2 linked regions of the Oreochromis niloticus genome follow. The protein of the gene in region 1 purifies or fractionates together with the protein of each later gene. This does not show direct contact. Links are inferred from orthologs where the notes say so. Each region holds a gene or a part of one and is shown in the gene's direction. Other genes may lie near its edges.

Evidence for each region.
Region 2: the proteins of ewsr1b (region 1) and probable ATP-dependent RNA helicase DDX17 purify together in Homo sapiens (affinity purification with mass spectrometry; 3 studies listed by BioGRID, with this or other methods). This does not show direct contact. The link is inferred for Oreochromis niloticus from reciprocal best matches to the Homo sapiens genes EWSR1 and DDX17.

Annotation. Positions count from the first base shown.
Region 1 is NC_031977.2:18,648,603-18,656,714, forward strand, and holds the start of ewsr1b (EWS RNA-binding protein 1b), read left to right. Parts: upstream 1-4,864; 5' UTR 4,865-4,965; coding exon 4,966-4,981; intron 4,982-5,454; coding exon 5,455-5,491; intron 5,492-5,797; coding exon 5,798-5,849; intron 5,850-6,052; coding exon 6,053-6,203; intron 6,204-6,349; coding exon 6,350-6,545; intron 6,546-6,642; coding exon 6,643-6,899; intron 6,900-7,017; coding exon 7,018-7,174; intron 7,175-8,112. UniProt on the Homo sapiens protein: Binds to ssRNA containing the consensus sequence 5'-AGGUAA-3'. Might normally function as a transcriptional repressor. EWS-fusion-proteins (EFPS) may play a role in the tumorigenic process.
Region 2 is NC_031969.2:9,880,880-9,888,344, forward strand, and holds the start of probable ATP-dependent RNA helicase DDX17, read left to right. Parts: upstream 1-4,372; 5' UTR 4,373-4,698; coding exon 4,699-4,748; intron 4,749-4,871; coding exon 4,872-5,031; intron 5,032-5,127; coding exon 5,128-5,224; intron 5,225-5,327; coding exon 5,328-5,461; intron 5,462-5,554; coding exon 5,555-5,620; intron 5,621-5,763; coding exon 5,764-5,905; intron 5,906-6,039; coding exon 6,040-6,200; intron 6,201-6,339; coding exon 6,340-6,512; intron 6,513-6,641; coding exon 6,642-6,752; intron 6,753-7,109; coding exon 7,110-7,171; intron 7,172-7,337; coding exon 7,338-7,397; intron 7,398-7,465. Other genes in the region: transmembrane protein 184B, read left to right, coding at 404-598, 920-946, 1,477-1,706. UniProt on the Homo sapiens protein: As an RNA helicase, unwinds RNA and alters RNA structures through ATP binding and hydrolysis.

The DNA of each region.
Region 1 (8,112 bases):
GAACACGAGAAGCTGGAGAAATACCAAGGGCTCAGAGAAGAGCTCGAGAGGATGTGGAGGGTGAAGGTAACTGTGGTCCCCGTGGTAATCGGAGCACTAGGTGCGGTGACTCCCAAGCTAGGCGAGTGGCTCCAGCAGATCCCGGGAACAACATCGGAGATCTCTGTCCAGAAGAGCGCAGTCCTGGGAACAGCTAAGATACTGCGCAGGACCCTCAAGCTCCCAGGCCTCTGGTAGAGGACCCGAGCTTGAAGGATAAACCGCCCGCAGGGGCGTGCTGGGTGTTTTTATATGTGTGTGTGTGTGTGTGTGTGTGTGTGTATGTATGTATGTATAAAATTCATTGCTTGATAATTTAATGTACAATAAAGAGATATTTTATAATTAAATATTTCAAAATGAACTTTATCACTTTATTCATAAATACTTCAAATGGAATGGATTTTCAGAAAAAGCGATTAAACTCAATAACAACCTGACTTAAAAATTAATTAAAAAATTAATAAATTAAAATAAAAATTAACAACAGAAGAATCCGGTCGTTAAGTGATGACGTGACGAATCCTACTTCCGGGCCTAAAGTAGTCTGCGTTTAATATGGCTTTTGTGTTGTTAACATGTTTAATGTTTTGTATTTTCTTCTATTTAATCTCAAAAAGCTCCTAAAACAGTCAGTGATCACTGTTGACCTCCCTCGGCTTTTATTACCGCTAAACATTTATTTAAGCTCAGTTTTTAAAACCTTAGGATGTAACTACAGCCCAGCCCATGCAGCAGTATATTAATGACTAACCTCGTATTGTGGATGGATTATCTCAGTTGTTCTCCTGGCTGAAGTTTGGTCCGTTTACAGCATCCTGCCATGCGATTACATTTGTTCCTGACCACCGAGAACACTCACGTTAACTTTTATCGAGTGGGAAAAAAAGTTAGCTTGTTTATATTATGCTAACACAGCTGTGTCGCTAGCGGTCACGTAGCACATCATTATATACCAGCTAGCCAAACTTCAGTAACCCTACAAACGTCACTGCTGTTTAGTTTTCTGTCTTCATTTATGTTGGAAGTGATAACAGAGCTGTACGTTTTAATTTGTTTCCAAAACCCCGCAGTCAGGACATGCTATGTTGTATTTAGATAGAAGCTAGCGAGCTAACTTCCTGCTAACTTCTAGCTCCGTTAAATGTCATAAATTCCGTTTTCATGGATGCCTGGATGTTAAACTCAGTTGTTACACCTGGTAGAGAAGAACGCTGATCATTTTATTAAAGATGAAAGACTTTAGACCAGGGGTGTCCAAACTTTTATCCCTGAGGGCCACATACATAAAAATATAGGAGGGGCTGGGCCACTTACTAGAAATTAGGTATATAACCTTAACTGTAGTGTATTAATGTTAGAAAAATCATTTAAAAGTGGTCAAATGTGTTATATTGTTGAATATAATTAAAGACAAAACTGCCTTCATCACAGCTTTCCATAAATGGATCTTTATTGATTTATTCAGAAAAAGCTTTGGTAGCTCATTCTCAGAACAGCAGCAGATTTCTTCTTGGACAGAAGATTTACAGTACAGAGGAAAAACAATAAAGGGGAAAATGGGACGGGTACATTTCAAGCTTATTATTTAAGTTCTTAGGCTTAGCAACACACCTATTAACGTTCGTTTGAAACGGTTATCAACATTAACAGATTGAACTGGACTTAATAACAGGAGTGCATATAATTTTAGTAAATTATTCTGGTGAGTATCAGCTGCGCTGGGTATGTAAATCGGGCCATCCAGCCGCGGTGCTCATCGTACGCCACTCGTGCCAGAAATCCGGACAAATGTCACTTGATCAAGGAGCAGATCTGCATCAGATGAGATCAGCTGACTTTGCGTGTGCGTGCGCTGTGCACAGCGGTGTGTACTCTGTGTGTTAACAAGAAAAACGCATATAAGAAAGTGGTGCGCAAAAGCAGGGTAGTGACAGAATTGATACGCATTATTGATATTTGAAGCATGTGTACCTGCACATGCATGCATATTAACACGCGGGTACTGTGGAATGTAGTTTTTACTCACCTAAAGTGCTCGTGCTCTCGTCCACTCCCCGCAAAAAAATAAATAAATTAGCAGCTGTGCGGTGTCTGTGGCATCGGTGCTCTCATCGCATGCGATGGAGTAAAAATCAAAAGCACAGCTTTATCAGACAGTTGCAGTTTAATGTTGGCTGACAGTCTTCAGTGCGTGGCACAACTGTATTTCTGGACATGCTGACGTTGTTGAAGTCCTGCACTTTTTCCGGGCACATTATTTCGGTGACTTTAACGAGGCAGCGTTTTATGAGGTCTCCATCTGAAAAAGGCTTGCCATGTCTTGCGATGAGTTGGGCGACCTCATAACTGGCTATTGGAGCCTTTTCCTGGACAATTTGAGCACGAAAAAAATACTGTTGCTGACCCCGCAGGATAGCTACCCTTTGCTTTAATTTCTGCTCTCGCTCAGCACCAGTGTAGGATGCATAGGCCTGATGTTTGGTTTCATAATGACGTCGTACATTATACTCTTTCATAACTGCCACAGTTTCAGTGCAGATCAAACAGACACACTTCCCCTTTAATTCTTTGAAAAAATATTCACTCTCCCACCGTGTCTGAAATTTTCTGCACTCACTTTGTAGCAGCCCTTGGCATCAAGAATGACAAAAGAGTCTCTAACGGGTGCAGCCATTTATTTCCTCACCACACACGCCTCATTCTCTGGACATTGAGCACCGTGAAAACTATAAAACAAGAAAAAATTGATACCCGTACAGTCCTTTTGAAGTATAACAATGAGCAATAACAACAATGAGCTCAAGTTAATTCAGGTAAGTTCAAACAAGTAATTCTGAGATATACAGTCACAGATTAAATAAAACAAAAAGGGGTTACTTCAAACAGCATCAAGGGGTTACACAGTTCGGTTAAATAAAATATAACAACAGATCACCTCTCATCACATACCTCAGTCCGCTTGCCAAGGGTGCAAACTCCGGTGAACACTTAAACACTTCGGCCCGTTTCTCATGGGATGCTGCTAGCTTGCATGACACACATGTCTAAGATGGACTTTGTACAACTTATTCCTGCCGCACGACAGACCGCTCATACACGTTACGGGGCATGCCTCTGAGCACATCTGTCCTTAGTGCGACTGCGCATACAGTTCCGACAACCCCCGCAAGGATGACTTATGGTACAGATCAGCGGTTCATTACACACTTTCTACTAGTGATGGCCCGCTTGAAGCTGACGCTCCGGAGCGTGTGTCGAAAAAAACAACACACTGGTTCAGAAGCACTGTGTCGAGGCTTGCTTCGTTTAGCAAAAGTCACGTGACCAGTGACGTCCGAAGCTTTATTACGCACGCAACTGCTTCGGTATCTGATTCAAATGGAACGAAGTGAATCATTTGCGGGATTTGTGGAGTGTGTTGATGGTGACAGATAGCGAACCACTGATCATTCTACTGAGAGATTTGGTTCTGTTGTGTGGAAGTATTTTGAGTTGATTCTGGTCAATCGGGTGGGTTTTCCAGCTTTGTGTTCTGGCTGTTTGCTTTTGTTTTGTGCGTCTTTATTTTATCTGAAAACGGGAAAAACTTAAAATGTAAAAAATCTGCTTTTCATAATATAAATATCAGTAAATAACTTCCATTTGACTCGTAACATTTAATGTTATAAAAAGATATATTTTATTTAAAAAAATAATCTTACAATGTTAGTCTACAAAATGTGCAGCAATTTAATTTATTTATTCTCTTTAGCCGATAGTTTGTGGAGCCATAACTGCATCTCTACCAGTTTTTCTGCACTCTAGCCTCTTCTCTTCTGTGCCATGTGAAGGGATTTTCCTTAAGGCAGGAGAAATTATCTCCACGAAAAGGAACAGATTCGTCCATCGCACAGTGGAACTAATTTTCTTCTTAAATAAAAATGAAAAAGGGTTTCCTTAAATGCATCATGTTATTAATTTGCAAGTTCATAAGCATTTTCCCTTTCCATTTCACAATCAATTCTACCCCCAGGTCAAAAATATGTATAGGAAAATTTCCCTAATATAATATTATTTATAAATATACCCGTCTAGAGATTAAATGCATAAGTACATGGAGGCAGGACCTCACAGCAGAAGCATACTGCATAATGTGCATTATTATATGTATGTTATATGTAACGTGGTATTTTTCAATTATTGTATTTACCAACATCAAGAAGTCACAAGCAAAGAAAGACCAAACCATGGTGCATGTTCACACAAGGAAAGTTTACTTGTCAAAATTATTTATTAAACAAATAAACTACATTTTTTAACACCAAAAAATACACGTTCAAAGCAACACAACAGCAGCCCAATATGAGACAGAGTTCCACTCTGTATAGTGGGCTATCATTATGAAGCAGTTGGTTTTATTTTGTGGATTCAAGCTGCTCTTCATATTTTTGGCCACCAGATGTCACCAGAGAGGACTGTGTTGAAAAGCTTCGAGTAATGAACCGTTTTTCAATACAAGCTTCAGTGCTTCAGAAAGCTTCATTTGGCCATCACTGCTTTCTACCTTTTGCTTCTGCCATGTTTGGTAACTTGGGGTAAATTTCTTCTGTGATTGTCCTTTTTGGTAGACCAACTGCCTTGATCAACAGTAGCTCCCCCTGGTGTTAAAACTAAGAAGTGCAATACACTCAAGCAAAAGTTGAAGTGCGGGCCATTTTCTATTCTATTTATAAAATTACTTGAGGGCCAATTAAAAATGGACCGCGGGCCAACTCGGACTTTGGACACCCCTGATCTAATCTGATTTGTAAACCTGTAATGCTTTCGCTACAACAGCCCCCAAACAGTATCGCGTTATGTCGCGAGATTTCGCGGTTGCCGCGAAGAGAGTTGCACTTCTGCGGTAGCATTCTTCGTCCATTCGTCTCTTATAGGCACACTAAAATGGCGTCTGCTTCGGGTGAGTAAAAAAAAATGCGACAATTACTGACTTTTAAAGTAAATTTTGTTATTTATTGAAACATTAATTTGCATGAATGTATCCTAATTGTGAGTATGTTTGCATAGTTCGTCTTTTTTAGCCACTTTTCTTTATTGAATAACATGAACCCAGTTCCCTCCGCGTCCGAGGCCTAGACAAGTTAGCACGTCGAGTCTTTGTGGTATTTACTCCGGATATGTTTTTTCATTTGCGCACACTGGGTTTTTCCGCATATTACCGATTTAAAATGAATCCTGTTTAACGGGTGCGTCGATGTCTGACTGGTTTCGTTAGCTGTGAAGTAGTGTTTAGGTTTAGTGAATGGCTCAGTTGTCTCGGTTTTGAATGGCGACATAAGAACGGGCCTGTAACGTGCGGCTCGCGCGCTGAGATCTGAGACTCTATTGTTTTTTGTTTTATTTTTTTAAACTAACCTTTTTCCCCATTTTCAGATTACAGCTCCTACAACCAGACCGGGGCTCAACAGGGGTAAGATTTTTCAGTTAACTTTATTAAAATGGCTTAGAGATTTTTAACCATCCAATATGACCTAATTCTTTCGAAGAAAGGAAACAAAGCGGAGATTAGGGTGGATGCAAATGTAAACCTGTATAATTTTTTTTAAAAATCGATATCCAAACATGGATTACTTTTGGTGTTTTTGTGACCTTCTTTAGGTCGTAGTAAACATCTTTTAGATAAAGACCATTTTTAAACAGTGCACAGCATGATATGTTTTTTCAGGCAGTACCCAGATTTCTGGTGATCCTAAAATTTTGATGCATATGTTTACAGGTATGCTTCCTATGCTGCCCAGCCCTCACAGAATTATGGACAATCTGCTCAGGTACCATTATTGATTTAATTGTGCAGATTTGATCAAAGCATGCCTTGTGCTTAAAACATTTAATGATTGTGGGGAAAACCTGGGATGGTTATTTGTTTACTGCTGGCAGTCATAGGTTGTTTGTGCTTTAAGCAAATGGAGCTTTTAAATAATGCTTAGTTGAGGTTTATTTTGCCTAATGGCTACTGTATTTGCTCTTTCAGCAAAGCTATGGCCAGCAGAATTATGGCTCATATACCCAACCTGCTGCAGCAGCTGCTGATAGCAGTTACAGTCAGACAACACCTGCAGCTGGAGGCTACCCCCAGCAGCAGCAACAGTATGGATCTGGATCATATGGCCAACCAGCATCAGGTCAGCTTTTGTTTTTTTTTAATTATTCTGTTGTTAAACAGTCAAATTACAATGTGGCAAAGCTTGTATTGATTCCTGAAAAATTAACAGGAATGAATATCAAATTTCTTTTTTTCCCTTTGTGATATGTGATGTCTTTTGTACAGCTGGCTACCCTGCTGCCCAGTCTGCTACTCACAGCTATTCACAGTCAACCCAGGGTTACGGAGCCAGTGGTTATGACAGTACTCCTGCTGCTGCTGCTCCAGCTGCCTCCCAGTCTTATGGCTCTCAGCCAGGATACACGGCTCAGTCTGCCTACCCTGGTTATGGCCAACAGGCTGCTCCCACTGCCCCTCAGAGGTATGGACATCTCATCTGACAACAACAAAACATGGGAATTCCAGAAGAACATGCTTATCGGATTACTTGCATTCTGTCTTTGCTTTGTCTCCATCAGTTACAATGCTAACAGCCAGCCAGCTACTTACAGCCAGAATAGCTACTCCCAGCCAGCAGCATATGGTCAACAACCTGGTTACCAAGGCCAGCAGGCAGGCTACAACCAGCAGCAGGGATACCAACAGCAGACCCAGCCACAGCAACAAGCTCCTCCTGCTTACCCTCCTCAGGCCGGTGGATCATACGGGCAGCCTCCAGCCAACCAGTACAACCAGCAAGGTGGACCACCCAGTTACAACCAGTCCAGCCATTACAGTAAGCTTTGCTTTCCTCCTGCCTAAACAGCTGTTCTCTCAACTAAACACATGTGTTCAATTCCACTGTGATCATTCTGTGACGACTGCATGTTTTGATGTTGTTGTTCCTCTTGTAGACAGTTACAGGCAGGATGGGCAGGGTGGAGGTTCTGGTTATCCAGGCTCTGAGCCTACGCGGTACCCTGGAGTAGGGGAGAGCAGGGGCCCTGGAAGGGACTTTGACCGAGGTGGAATGATGCATCGTGGGCGTGGAGGCATGGGGCGCGGCATGGGGTAAGTGTCTTTCTTAAGCACTTAATCTCACATTTATTCAGTCTCTGCAGGTGCCGTTGCCATTTGAGGCAGAGCTGAGACAAACCCTGCTGTAACATCAGAATAATACAGTAAAACATAACGGCAGTCTTGTAAGGGGAATTTATTAGTATTTGATACTGATTCATCAGCAATCAGCGCTAATGAATTGCATGTATCTAGTATAATACATGCAGTGGCATATGTTGTATAAGAATGAGTTTTGTCTCAACCCTGCCTCTCTCTTGGCCAAAGGTAAGAAGAAGGAAAAAAAAAAGTGCAGATTTTGATCACAGACCTGTGCATAAAATTTAGGTTGGACAGCTTATATCCTAGACCATGATTTGATTACTGGGCAGTATCAACAGTATAGGATAGAAAAACGTAGTTTCAGATTTCAACGTTTGTCAGGGAACATGGTACAATCTGTAAGAATATCTACATAAATACATACAGAATTCTAACCCTACTTTCTTTAGTTTCCCACCAGTTCAGTTTCTCAGCATGCTGAATTATTCTCTATAGGGTGACTAACTGGAATAATACAGTTAGATGCTGGAGTCTAGTCCTGTAAGGTCATATCACGACAGGTATTTTAAGAAATGTATAAATGGACGCTGGGCTCATGTAGCACATTAAGTTCCATTTCACATGCCCGTTTGTGTTTTACTAGAGTGCAGTATTTGGGTCAGTACATTTTCTTGATAAGTTTTATTTATTATTCATTTTTTGGCAATTCATTGGTGGTTTTTCAGAGTCTCATAGGTTTCTAAAGAGCTACCGGTGACAATATGTATTTGTCCCTATTTCAGTGGGTTGAGAAAATGCCAAAAAAGGCGGGAAATGGCACTTTAAGTTAATCTAGATGTGTAAATGGTTGTTTAAAAAAAACCCCTCAAAAGTAAATGACATCAATTACA
Region 2 (7,465 bases), on another chromosome or scaffold:
TAGCTTTACAGACCAAAAAGGTTTTTTGTGCCAGGTTCAAATACGTTTATTTCGGTGCCAGTTTTGGGCATTTTAACATCAGTCTATGAGATTTGACTCACCTTTGGAGCCAGCCTCAAGGGAACTGCTGCTTGCTCGCCACTGGCCCATTGGGGCATTGATGTTGTTTCCAGTAATGTGGCTGAAATAGAGTCTTAGAATCAATATTTTCACATTTAAAATATCAAAACAGATGAAAAATGTAACTTTTTTTAGCCTTGCGCTTACATTTCCAACACTAAAGGTTGCTGCTTAGTCTCTTGTCATGATTTCCATGCACAGATTCAAATGTTGCTGAACTCTCATGGAGTAATACATCACTGTTTTGATTTATGTTTTCATATTTTATCTTTGTATATTTCAGGGATGTTGTTGGCCATCCTGGAGAAGTGTGGCGCTATCCCCCAGATCAACTCTGCTGATTTCTCTGTGGGGGAGGGAACAGTTGCTGCTGGCTACCAAAACTTCATCATCTGCATTGAGATGTTCTTTGCTGCTATTGCTTTGCGCCATGCTTTTACTTACAAGGTCTACATGGACAAAAGGCTGGATTCATATGGTAAGCGGCATGTTTATGTGTGTGCCTTGATGTCTGGTTGTAGTAGAGAGTGAAATGTTCAAAGAGCAACTAACAGAGTATTATAATATTGTAATTATGTGATTAACAGAGGGTTCTTGATGAAGTCTTTCAAAGCTAATCTGACCTCACTCTTTGTGTCCCTCCCTCTTTACTTTGATTCCTATCTTTAACAATCTGTTTATTTTGAGTTGTTCTCTTTTCATCTGCCCTCTTTTCTATTCTTTTATTTTCATCTTGACCTTCTTGTGTTTCTTATCTCTTTCTCTCCTTTTCCTCCTCCTTCACTCTGCGGCACTCAAGGCTCATTTCCTATCTATGGACAGTACGGTACGTCTGATGTTAGCTATGTTTTGTCTGTATGTGACTCAGTTGTTTATGTTAAAATGGAATTTGATGTCTTTTTTTTCTCTTTGATTGTGGTTTAAAAGGAAATTACATTTCCATCGCTTGTGTTATGTGTTTCAGTTCAGTGTTTCATTTGCAGCATTGTATAGAAAATGCAGATATTGATGTTTCCATTAGATTTTGAAATTATGGATATTTCGCTGTGTTGTTTTGTGTTCTTTCATTTATTTTGCTGTCAGTTAATTCCGCCCTTCGTCATTTTGCCTTCCCACTTTGTTCAGTCTGTGGTCCTACCCTTGTCGTAAACCCTTGCCTTGATAATAAATATGCCAGATGGAGTGATAATATTTATCTTAATATATTTTATATTCTTTGCAACATTGCTTAGGTTTATTTGGACAATCCAGCTGGCAGTTGGGATGGAAACATAGTTTCTTTCTTTTTTCGCTCATGTATCGCTTCCATTCAGTGTCTCGTTCTTAATATTTACCACCTTCCCATCACACCTCCAGGTCGCTGTGCCCCAATGAAGAGCATTTCCAGCAGCCTGAAGGAGACGATGAATCCAGGAGACATGGTCCAGGACGCCATCCATAACTTCTCCCCAGCTTATCAGCAGTACACCCAGCAGTCCACATTAGAGCGAAGTGGAGGGCCACCACTCTCCCGCAGCCACAGTAACATCAGCACCCGCGGGGACAACGAAAAGACTCTTTTACTCAGCTCTGATGATGAGTTCTGAGACTCAAACACACACTCGGAAGCTAACCCTTACTCCTGTAGCCCTTCTCAAGTTTTTAGCAGCCATGGAAGACGAATCTGATCTTTTTTTCCGACCTCAACGTGGAAGTTCAGGCTGTGGTTCTGGTTATTTCACATTTAGATAACAGTGAAAGATCAGATTTATGTCATGGTTGCCAGATTGCTGAAACCGAGACAGGGCAGAGTCCTTTTCTAAGGAAAAAGGAAATGATTGCTACAGCACGGAAATGAGGAGCGTGAAAAGAATGTAGATATTACAAATAAAGTGAGGGAGGAGTGAGGTTGATTCTTTAACTGGCCAAGCTGTTATTTGTGTTGTTTTAGTTGTGATTTTAGGCCATCGCTGAAAGAAATGCGATTTTTGTATTCACCCGTGGAAAATGGATTCGTACAGATAACTGTGCCTGCATTATACCATCTTAATCCTGCACTAATGACACTATGGCATTAAAAATGTTAGATATGAGCTGGAGAAAGTAAGTGCCATCTTCTTCTGAGACACATGGCCTCTTTATTCTTTACGCTTTACACTGATTCATAATCAATATTCCTCCTCACCTCTCTGCTAGTGCTCTCACTCTTTGTAACTATATATTGCCAAATAGCACCCTGTGCTCCAAATAACAAGACACTGTCTTAAAGTTTAGGATTGTTTTTTAATTTTTTTTCAAGTAGCCTTTGAATTGCAGGGGTTATTTTTAATATATGACTTCAATGACAAATAAATATTTTATCTAAATGTTGTTTGAGCTCGAAGGTTTATGTTATTGTTATCCTAGAAATTTTATGAGTTTACTGAGGATGTCATCATTATGTAATGTAATGGCATTCCAGCTGTTGGCCAGACTCTCTATTGTTTGGGGAGAAGCACAGTAACAGCTGTAGGAGAGATTTTTAGCGTAGGCAGGAGGACTGACGGAAGGACAGCGCCCACACAGATTACAGATTACTGATGGAGCAACACTTTCCTGCACAGTCGGCCCAGCTGTGATGCACCCTGGATTGTGATCTCATAATTAATGGCATTACATGCTGCACAGATTGGCGCTGCCTCTGCTGGTGTCATTTGTAATGGCATCACTACGACAGCAGCGGCAAATATGTCACGTTGTCAGTCGCTACAGATAGAGAATGCGAAGATATGTTGGTGAAAACAAGGCTTTAAATCAGATTGAAATCACATTTGTACTTGAATATATTGAGCATTTTAAACTTGGTGGTCAGTACAGGGACATGAAAAGTGACTAAACACCTTCAGGCTGGCCAGAAATCCTCTGGTTGGCATTATGTTTTCTTTTTCCAAAAGATGGCTGGAACTGTTTGAGTTATGCATTCATATTTTATCCAGTTATGTTTAATATGCGTTTACACAGTGGCTGGTATATAACTCGCATGTGGTTTGTGGTTCTAAATGTTTTAATGGCAGAGCACAGCTGTATAAAAGCTGAGATTCTGTTTATGTTGAGTGTATATCCATTTAACAGACTGGAGGTAGTGACTGCGGGTCGACACATAGTACATCACCGCCCAACCCTTTGCGAGAAAAGGAGTCAACCCAGCCAAAGTGATGTGTGTGTTTTCAGTTTATGTCCTAATGAGAAAATCATATTCGGTCAAGAGAAGGTGGGTGAAAGTGTTTGGATTCCATCTGTGACCCACATCCCATCCAGCCGCCACCCGCCTCCCACCCCAGTGACCGCATCACTTGTGTATCTTTCTACTAAACCTGCATTGCTTCAGTTAAAATCAAGGTCGAGTGTGTTTGTTCTGAGCGTTTCATACTTGAGCATTTTCTTCAAAACACTATCAGATCATAATTTTGCAAAGCTTATTGTATTTTAATCCAGAAAATACTATATCCAAATGGAAGGAACGCTGTAAATAAAGTCAAACTTAGTGCTGCAAAACCTTTATGACGACGACAATGGGACGCCATTGCTTGGTATAGTGCTCTGTTTGAATATATTTGTGTTTTGATGGTTTCATTTCATATATACTCCTGTTTTATTTTTAATTTTTTTGTTGTATGATATTTTTTTTGTTTGTATATTGGTAATATCACATGTTTTGATGCTATATTGATTTCTGTTGATGTTTCAAAAAGAAATAAAAGATGAATAGTAAAATAAAAAGACATTTCTGGCAGTTTTTGCAGGCTTGTAGACTCCATCATTCTCATTAGCAAAATATTAGAACCCCTGCAAACACCATTGACAGAGTCTATTGTTCAAGTAATGTTTTGGACAGTATATGCTTTTTACTCTACTTTTGTTATTTAGTAGTTATCCCCCCTCCCTCTCTTTCTCAGACCATTCTCTGTAAACCCTAGAGACGGTTATGTGGGAAAATCGTAATATTTCACTATTTTCTGATATACTCAGATTAGCCCGACTGGAACCAACAACCATGTCATCTTCAAAGCCACTTAAATCGCCTTAAATTCTAAAGCTCGGTTTGTAGTTCAGCGGGTCATCTTGATGGCCTGTTTGCTTTAAGGAGCAGCTGACCACGTGAACCGGATCAAATGGCCGGTGAGTGTATTGCATTAAGTTTCCAAAGCTGTTTAATAAATGGCCAAGTAAGTAAACAGACGTACGCGTGCCATGAGTATGTCACTCACAGTATAGGGGCGGGGCTTATCCAGCCGCCAGCCAGTCACAGCAGCTTCCGGTTCTGTGTTAAGCTAACAACAACACAGAACCATCTCCTGCGTCTTATTACTATTGCAACCCTAACGACGCTTGTCACAAAGGAAATATGGCGGGTTGTGCTACTTAACTTTTCAGCAGGCATTTACGAAGACGACATTTTAATTTATTTTTGATTTAGTCAGTTGTCCAAGCTAATTCACGGTCTCGCCGAGTGAAGCTTCTGGAGTTTTCAAGCAAGGCCAGAAAAAGTATCTGTAAGCAAAAGCCTTACAACCTGTAGAAGATAAGGTCCATTAGGAAAACTTACTAAGAGCCCTCAAAATGAGAGGTTCTTACGGAGACAGAGACCGAGACCGTGGTCGTGACAGAGGGTAAGAGGACTGCTAAGTTAGCTTGTCAGCTAATGCTAGTTAGTTATCATAAAACCCTATTATATGTTTTTATTGTGACTAGCAGCGGTTGCTTTGACCTTACAGTTCGTTGTCATATTCCAGCAATCCCCGATTCGGATCAAGCAGAGGCGGACCACCCCCGGGTAAGAAGTTTCGGAATCCCGGGGAACGCTTACGAAAGAAGAGATGGGACCTGAATGAGCTTCCCAAATTTGAGAAAAACTTCTATAATGAAAATTCCGAAGTGCAGCGAATGAGCCAGGTATTATGTCCGTCATGTCACAGTCTGACCTTCAGCTGCACCTGTTGTGTTGTTTAGTCTGTGTTCACTTGTTGCTTTTCTTCTCTTTGTTCTCAGTATGATGTTGAGGAGTATCGCAGAAAGAAAGAAATCACAGTCCGAGGCTCAGGCTGCCCAAAACCTGTCACCAGCTTCCATCATGCACAGTTTCCTCGTAAGCACATGCACTCATGGATACACCTGCAGCACTGTGGACAGTTTGCAGACATACATAACCAGAAACTTTGTCGTCCCTTATTTTTGCTTCTTCCAACTAGAATATGTAATGGATGTACTGGTGCAGCAAAACTTCAAGGAACCAACAGCCATTCAGGCTCAAGGTTTCCCTTTGGCACTCAGTGGGAGAGACATGGTGGGCATTGCTCAGACGGGCTCTGGAAAGACTTTATCGGTGAGATGTGTCTTCCTCTGCACCTGTACGCATCACACAGATGAATTTCACAGGTGAAAGATTAACCAGTCTTCCATATTTTTCTTCTTTCAGTATCTCCTGCCTGCAATTGTGCACATCAATCATCAGCCCTACTTGGAGCGTGGAGATGGACCCATTGTACGTGAAGAGAAAAGGAGAGCACTAATCACTGAGTAGTCTGCCTTGGAGTAACCTAATTGTATTAGAGACCTCAAAGCACAACATAAAACTAACAAACACTAAAGAGAGGATTGATGTGGCTTTATATATGTGCTGTGCAGTGCTTGGTGTTGGCCCCCACAAGAGAACTAGCTCAGCAGGTCCAGCAGGTGGCATATGACTATGGAAAGTCATCACGCATCAAAAGCACTTGTGTGTACGGCGGTGCTCCCAAGGGACCTCAAATACGAGACTTGGAGAGAGGTGAAGACTACTACAGCATGCAATCATACAGTTGTGTCCTTTTGGGAACCACTTTCGATTAGTCTGTAACTTATTTATTTTCAGTTTAACTGATTATATTACACACTGAAACATGCTAACTTTGTCTCGCTCAGGTGTTGAAATCTGCATCGCCACTCCGGGTCGTCTCATTGACTTCCTGGAAGCTGGAAAGACCAACCTGCGGCGCTGCACATACCTAGTTCTGGATGAGGCTGACCGCATGCTGGACATGGGTTTCGAACCACAGATACGCAAAATTGTGGATCAGATCAGGGTAAACGCTAATACTCAAAGGCTATATCTGTCTTTTTGTTTTTTTCTTAGGTTTTTTTGTTTTCTGCTGCTTACTCTTGTGTTTTAAGTCAAAGCTGTTTTAGTGTACAGTGTTTTACTTGGTGGGTTCTTTTGCCCAGCCGGACAGACAGACTCTGATGTGGAGCGCTACCTGGCCTAAAGAAGTTCGCCAACTGGCAGAGGACTTCCTGAAGGACTATGTCCAGATCAATGTTGGAGCTCTGGAGCTCAGCGCTAACCACAACATCCTTCAAATTGTTGATGTTTGCGTGGAGAGCGAAAAGGACCAAAAGTAAGAGTTTGGTGGTCTGGTCACATAGGAATTATTTTCTCACATTAAGAATAACAGCATCTGCTGTGTTTGGTGTGTGCGTTTACATCCCTTTAATTATAATGCATTTGCTTCTTTTGCTTTTCTCAGGCTTATCCAGCTGATGGAAGAGATTATGGCTGAGAAGGAAAACAAGACCATCATCTTCGTTGAGACCAAGAAACGGTGTGATGACCTGACACGTAGGATGAGACGTGACGGGTGAGTATACCAACTCATCCCAGCATCTGTTTTAACTGCAGACTGTAATAAAGAATGGACACCATGATGTCACCCAGTGGTATGGTCTATGCTGAAGTTGGGCAGTTTAACACTGGAGTGTGTATGGACTGGAGATATTGGAGCTTTTTAAGCTATTCCACAGCCTTAGCTAAGCACAGTCATTTAGGAGCAATAATTGAAGACTTGTCAAAATGGTCCACTGTAAATATTGAATTGTACTTTTGCTTGAATTGCCCATCACTGGTTTGTAGTACATCAGATGAATGGTTGTAGAGAAAATCAAAAGAGCAGACACACACAGGCACACGCTGTTAAAGTTGCTGATTTGTCTTCTAGGTGGCCAGCGATGTGTATTCATGGTGACAAGAGTCAGCCAGAGAGAGACTGGGTATTAGCAGGTACAATAAACACACTCACTGACATTTCATTGTATGGCAGGTCTTTGCACTGTTGTGTTGTGCTGCCCTGAACCATGTGTTGGCTCTGCTTGCATAATTACACAAACTGAACTGAATTAAATTGAATAACTGATCCTAATCACCTTTTATTCGTCTCATGTTGCAGAGTTTCGGAGTGGCAAAGCCCCCATCCTCATTGCTACTGACGTCGCCTCACGTGGGCTTGGTATGTCATGTGTGCTCAAGTATAAAGCAAGTAATTTCCTAAGTATAGCCCCACACACATGCAGTATA